Callithrix jacchus: one gene and its partner. The protein of the gene in region 2 purifies or fractionates together with the protein of the main gene of each other region. This does not show direct contact. Links are inferred from orthologs where the notes say so. Each region holds a gene or a part of one and is shown on either strand. Other genes may lie near its edges.

The links. Proteins that work in one complex are often made in the same cells at the same time.
Region 1: the proteins of FBXW9 (region 2) and SKP1 purify together in Homo sapiens (affinity purification with mass spectrometry; 6 studies listed by BioGRID and IntAct, with this or other methods). This does not show direct contact. The link is inferred for Callithrix jacchus from reciprocal best matches to the Homo sapiens genes FBXW9 and SKP1.

The regions. Positions count from the first base shown.
Region 1 is NC_133503.1:74,158,233-74,162,437, forward strand, and holds the start of SKP1 (S-phase kinase-associated protein 1), read left to right. Parts: upstream 1-1,381; 5' UTR 1,382-1,494; intron 1,495-1,596; exon of another isoform or gene 1,597-1,736; intron 1,737-3,933; exon of another isoform or gene 3,934-3,986; intron 3,987-4,205. UniProt on the Homo sapiens protein: Essential component of the SCF (SKP1-CUL1-F-box protein) ubiquitin ligase complex, which mediates the ubiquitination of proteins involved in cell cycle progression, signal transduction and transcription.
Region 2 is NC_133523.1:11,507,763-11,510,298, reverse strand, and holds the end of FBXW9 (F-box/WD repeat-containing protein 9), read left to right. Parts: intron 1-780; coding exon 781-929; intron 930-1,016; coding exon 1,017-1,130; intron 1,131-1,259; coding exon 1,260-1,349; intron 1,350-1,434; coding exon 1,435-1,500; intron 1,501-1,581; coding exon 1,582-1,656; 3' UTR 1,657-1,983; downstream 1,984-2,536. UniProt on the Homo sapiens protein: Substrate-recognition component of the SCF (SKP1-CUL1-F-box protein)-type E3 ubiquitin ligase complex.

The DNA of each region.
Region 1 (4,205 bases), on a different chromosome or scaffold from region 2:
GTCCTGCTTAGGATGCTCAAGGAGAGTTTATAAGGTACCACCATGCATGCCATAGGCAGGGGAGCAAAGGGGCTCCAGTGGGCCCTGCCTAGGAGGCCTGAAGCTGGAGCTGCTGAGGGCACGGCTGTGCTGCACAGAAAAAGTCTGAGAGCTGCAGGCCTTTCATCTTCTGTCATCAGCTGTGGCACCTGGCAGACACTGGATACCACGGGTTGTAGACAAAGACTTGGTAACTCAAAGAGCTGCTTGGCCTTCCTACCCCGTCCTGTCCCAGAGGCACTGTACGTCTCTGGTTTCTTCAAGGGGCCCTGTGTGGAAGTATCTTTTGTCTTTCTTTTGTCAGGGATACCATCACGTGCCTGATGGCTAGGTGAGCCTGGCGCCCAGTCTCCTAGGGCGGGGAGGGTAATGTTCCCGAGCAGGGCGGGTTGGGGCTTTCAAACTACTCCCTTTCCTTTATAGCTGGCTTCATCCTATCATAGCTTCACCTCATCATAGCTTTCCTAGGAGCACCCCAGACAAAACAGTTCTGTCCAGGCTGGGCCCTGGCCGCCTGGTTCACTGAATCCCCAACACCACGCCTCGCATGCAGGGCTCAAAGTATGTTTAGTGAGTGGATACCTATTGCTAGATGGAGGCCTTCTCTCTAAATTTGTGGTTTCTCTACAACGATGGCTATTTTTGGCATGGAAGCCTCTTCAGAAGTCAGTAGGAGGAAATAAGGGCTAAGAGCACCTAAGTCTAAAGGTTCAAATCCTAGCTCTGTCACTTAACCGTTCCGAACCTGTTCCCTCACTGTAGATGCGAAAAAGCTATCACTATTTCACCTCGGAAGGTTACTGTGAAGATTGAAGGCTGGAGAAGATGTATCACTTCAGTAGTAAAACACACACAAGCGCCCCCACCCCAGGAATAAACCCCCGCGCGGACACACACACATACACTTCAGGAATAAACACACGCGCGTACACACACACACACACAGCCCCTCCAGGAATGAACACACAAGCGCGCGCACACGCCCCGTTTTGTTGTTCCCAGGAACACACACATAGGCGTAGGCACACGCCCCGTTTTGTTTTTTCCACGCTTTTTAACTAGGGTCTTTCACTTGGCTTAGGGCACCCCTGCCTGAAAGACCTTTCTAGGCCAGCTGGAGCTCGGCACCCAGTTGAGGAGAGAGCGCGGCGCTTTCAGGACTGGGAAAAGGCGAAAGCTCTCCCGGCTCCCCGGCTCCCCAGCCCTTCGGCCCGCCGCCTCCCGGCCTGGGCCCGCCCCGCCATCCCCGGCCTACAGTCAGGCGATGTCCGTGGCCAGCCCAGCCTCTGTGTGACGCCGCGCGCCCCGGGGTCCTTAGCGCCTGCGCGCTCTCCTATAAAGCAGACGCTGCGCCGCGCTTCTGTAGTGGCTTGGTCCCTAGCCTTTCTCTTCCTTCGGGGAGGCCTTGCGGCTCTCGTCAGCCTCCGGCCAGCAGTCTCCTTAACACCGAACACCGTGAGTAGTCGCCCGCTGAGCTGGAAAAGGTTGTGGCGCCCGGATTGCGTGCTGGTTGGCCTCACCATTGCGGTTTGGGCCTGCCTGCGGCGGGCGGTGACTGGGCCTGGCCTTCACTCGGGCCGGGTGGATCGCGTATCGACCCTGTTCTTCAGGAGACACAGTCGGGTCCCATTCACCCGCCCCGCCCCCTAGTCAGCGAGGCCTTCTGTGGCCGCGCGTCCTCACGGCGCTCCTTGAGTGTGAGTCGAAGCCCGGGCTGGGCCTTCTCTGCACCGGCCGTGCGTCAGCCGCCGCAGAGCTCAATTGCAAGGCCCAGACTGCGGTCGGAGGCCTCCCTTGGCCTTAGGCCTGTTGTCCTGAGGACCAGGGCGGGGGTGGCGGCGGGGTTGTGAATGGGGGTCCCTTGGCTGTCTTGAGCGTGGGCGTGTGTCGGTGTCTGGTTTTTGTTGTCGTCGGGAGGGAGAGCGGTGGTGGTGGTCTGAGGCCGCCCGGTTCCTGGCTCCCATCCTTTCACTCCCGTGTCTGGCGTCACTAGCTACCGGTCCTGGCTAGCCGTGTGCGGGCTCCGGGTCTCTGCACATAGCCACTTGCTCCTTCTAAATATTTATCCGCGTTATGTTGCCACTACTTGGAGTCGTTGAAATAACTGTTGTGATAGCAGATACTATCGTCATAGTGGTGTGACTTGTAGGAGCCTGTAAATTCGACGTGTCTGGCTTTTAAAGATATAGGACGTCTACCTGCTCTGGTTCACTTTTAATGGAAACTTCACGTTTGGGTTTTAGGGGCATGCATTTTTCGTCAGAGCGTCAAATAGAATGTATCTGTATCATAGAACAATACAGTCTCCTCCACTGCAGTCTAAAAAGAGGTGTCCGAGTTTCGGGTCACCTAAAACGCAGGTTCCCCCCCCCATGATGTGATAGAACCCACTTTATACTGGCCATGGAGAATTATTTACAAGTGCCAGGAGCCTTTAGGCCTCTTTTTTAGAATGGAATTGTTTTGAAAGCATTTCAAATTAGAATTTCATCCATTACTTAAAAATTTAGCACTTACTTTAGCACCAAAACTTATCTTTGAGTTTAGTCTAGTATTACAAAGTGCATCGAATTACAGATTAACCGATTGCCTACCTGCTGTTTAGTAAGATCTCAACTCCCTTAAGAGTAACCCAATCCACGAATTTGACTGTGACTAAGCACTTATCTTGAGTTATTTGAAAGAAATATGAAACGGTTGTCTTGCTTTTAGAGTAATTTTACCAACTTCATTGTTAGACGTGGTTCTGTACTGTTCATTTCAGTACTATGTAATATAAAAATTACACGTTTAAATGTTTTGTAATTAAAAATTGGGCCCACGTTAAAATATTTTCTTTTGGAGATACCTATTGTCTTGTCACAGGAAGGGTCCTCTACTCTGGGCCCTTCTCCATTGAGCGGGACAACTGCATTATTGGCAAGCACTAAGCAACATGGAGAAGCAGACATGTCTGTGAACTGCAAAGTGAAATCTGATTCTCTCCAACCATGGATGAGTGAGAGTAGGGTATTTTAGTGACTGGGTTTAAAACATGCTTTACTTTTTTGCTTCCTTTGCCTAACAGCCTGTCTGCTTTGGGATTGGGGACAATTGTCTCAGAGAAGCTGAATGAATATTTTAACTGATGTAATAGGTTATAAGTCTTTGAACATAAAACGGGTGTGATGTATGTTTTAAAAGCCAAATCATACACTTTTGTGAAAATATATGCAGTTTTTAATACATAACACCTAAAAAGCTTCAGAGGTGCTATAAGTTAATAGTGATATCACCGGATTATGAATACTTCAGAAGCATGGGTCTTTTGAAAGTTGTATGTGAATTTTAAGAGGCCTTGAATTAAGCTGTACCGGGTATTGCTATACTCTTGTTGTTGTTTGTATGTTTTCCTTTTTTTTTTTTTAGAATTTGAAGATGGTAAGAAATTGTTGGACTTTTAATTTTAAAACATAAAATTAAATTTAAAGCATAAAAGAGGTTATTAATACCTATTTTTAGATTGCATTCCAGCCTGGGCAATAGAGCAAGATTCCTGTTCTCTCTCCCCCTTTCTCTTTCTCTTTAAAAATAAATAAATAAATGCCTTTTTTTTTTTTTTGCCAGAACTTAAGTCCTTTGAAATTAATTGCTTAACTTTTCATGTAAGATTGTATCTTTTTCCTAATGACTCATCATTAATCTGAGTTAATGCATGCATTTTCAGAGCAAGTAATAGGTTGTTATTATGGAGATCTTGCTGAGAGATTTCAAAGATGGTTGCCTAGACAGTCAGTACTGAAAGATAAAAAGGGCCCTGAATTTAAGCTTCCTACTAGATTTAGGGAATTGTACTCACATCTGCTTATCTTTAAATTATTTTATTCTTTTGTATATGGTCTTGCATTGCCTCAGACATAAATGAGCATATTCTGATCTACTCTTGGGATCTGAACTCATTTTCACAGGTAGGTCTCACTGCAGGGGAAATTTCTATTTTATTTGGTAGCCTTGTTTATTTTCAACTGACCTTCCTTAGGTTTGCATGTGGTTAATTGTGGCAGTTAACTATTCAAATGGACTAGTTCAGTATTCAGTGGGAGATGAAAGACAGGCAGAAAGCAAATAAGTATGTTTTATTAAATTTATACCAATAGTGAGTTCAGTGGGGCAGGCCTTAAAAGCTG
Region 2 (2,536 bases):
TACTCTAGCCTGTTGCCCAGGCTGGAGTGCAGTGGCATGAACTCGGCTCATTGCAGCTTCTGCCTCCGGGGTTCAAGTAATTCTCCTGCCTCAGCCTCCCAAGTAGCTGGGATTACAGGTGCCTACTACCATGCCCAGCTAATTTTTGTATTTTTAGTAGAGATGAGGTTTCATTATGTTGGCCAGGCTGGTCTTGAACTCCTGGCCTCACATCCACCCACCTCTGCCTCCCGAAGTGCAGGGATTACAGGTGTGAGCCACTGCGCCTGGCCATTTTTCTTTTTTTCTAAAATAGAGACGGGGTCTTGCCACATTGCCCAGGCTGGTCTTGAACTCCTGGGCTCAGGTGATCTGCCCATATCAGCCTCCCAAAGTACTGAGATTACAGGTGTGAGCCACTGTGCCTGGCCTATATTCATTCTTATTTTGTTTAATTGAAGGGCCCGTGTACCTTGTCCAGGCAGAGCTGGAGCAGGGCTGTGGGGTAGAGGTGTGTTTCAGGCCAACCTGAGGGCAGATGCAAGACTGAGACCACCTTGGTCAGCTCCGTGCTGAGAACAGTAGCTGAGACTGGAGGAGGGCTATGGGATGGGGACAGGGATGGGCAGAGGCCTGGATTTAGCTGAGGCAGGAAAGGAGAGATGGGTCACTCTGTGGAGTGGGGGAATGAGCAGATCAAGGGTTTTGCCAGACAGAATGGAGACCCAGGATGCTCCCCTGGGCTGGGGGGACCTTTGAGGGGCTCTGATTTCCCTCCTCCCTGGCCCATTGCCCATGAAGCCGGCCCAGCCCTGTTGAAGAGCCAGCGACTACACTCTAGCCCTGTGTTGGCCCTGCTGGCAGATGACCAGCACATCATCTCAGGCAGCGAGGACCGCACCCTGGTGGTGGTTGACCGCCGAGCCAACAGAGTCCTGCAGCGGCTGCAGGTGGGCCCTCTCCAGGGGCCTGGAGGGATGGGGATGGTCACAGGCCCAGTCTGGCCTGAGCTGCCATGTCCCTTGTCCCTCTCACAGCTGGACTCCTACCTGCTCTGCATGTCCCACCAGGATATGCAGCTCTGGACTGGTGACAACGAGGGCCTGCTGCACGTCTTCGCCAACCGCAACGGCTGCTTCCAGCATGTCCGGGTCTGCTGGGGCTCCTGCCCCTGTCCATCCCTCCCCTTCAGGCCTCCTTCCTACCCCTGGGCCCCCGGTGGTGTTGGGGGGTGCAGTAGGGAGAGGCCCACCTGAGTGTCGCCTGACCTCCTCCCGCAGTCCTTCAACGTGGGCCACAGGTCTCACATCACTGGGATCCAGTACTCACTGGGAGCCTTGTATACTGCATCCACTGACAAGACCCTCCGGGTGAGGCTCCTGCCCAGCCCCTGCCCTCCCCACCTCCATCAGCCAGGGGCACCCCTCTTGACCTTGGCCCGTTGCCCCTCACCAGGTGCACGTGCCCACAGACCCACCAAGGACCATCTGCACCCGAAGGCACGACAATGGGTTCACCAAGGTAAGGTCCTGCCCCACGTGCCCTGCCCAGCTGGCCAGAATGCCACTGTCCCTGACTCCTCATGTCCCTGTCCCCTCCCAGGTCTGTGCTGAGGGCAACCTGGTGGTGGCTGCCTCTGGGGGCCTGTCGCTAGAGGTCTGGAGGCTGCAGGCCTGAGCAGGTGGACATGGATGTGGATACTGCCGGCTGGTGGCTGGGCCTCGGCCTCTGTTCTTGGGGGACCATCCCCAACATTGGTGCTGCCTGTCTCCCCCACAGGGCCTAGGGCACAAGGAGTCCTGGCCACATTCGGGTGAAGGTTCTGGTCTGGGCCCTATGCATACGGGGTTGAAGTTGGGATTCAGGCCCACCCAGGGGGCTGCTCCCTACCCTAGGGCCCTGGTTTTTTTTGTGGGAAGGGGGGGCCTGGTTTTGTTATGATTTGGATGTACCGCTCTCAGGTGAGAGTGAAAGAGAAATAAACCTGACGTGTTGGTGCTTGGACCTGCAGTATGAGTGTGGTTTGCCCGCCGGGGCTTGGCCTGAGCCTGCTTGGGGCTTGGGGGGCTGCAGGCCTGTGTGGGAGTGACTGGGAGAGATTACAAGGCTGGGCTAGGGGGTGCCTGCCAGCTGCTGCTGTGCATTTGTTTGAAGAGGCAGAGTCCTGAAGACTGTGAGCACCTGTGTCTATGATGTCACTTCTGTGTGTGCGACATATGACGTGTAGATTAGGACTCAAATCCTTGACATTTGTTTGCATGGTGGGAGAGGGCACCTGCTCAGGCTCCCATGGGTGCTGGGGAGGGCAAGAGGGACAATGTGCTCTCCACTGGGGCTCCAGGGTGTGTGTGTGTGCTGCTGTGACTGTGACCCTGGGGGCAGGCCAGGGAGGAGGCTGGGCCAGGTGTGCGCCTGGCCCCTGCAAGCCCAAAGTCCCTCTGGTCTGCCATCTCAGCCCGGCCCAGCCATGCCCTGAGAATTATTCACTTCATGTTTATTGAGGCCCCCTGGTCTGCTCAGGCCACAGGGGGGACGTTGTCCTGGGTTCATAGGATAG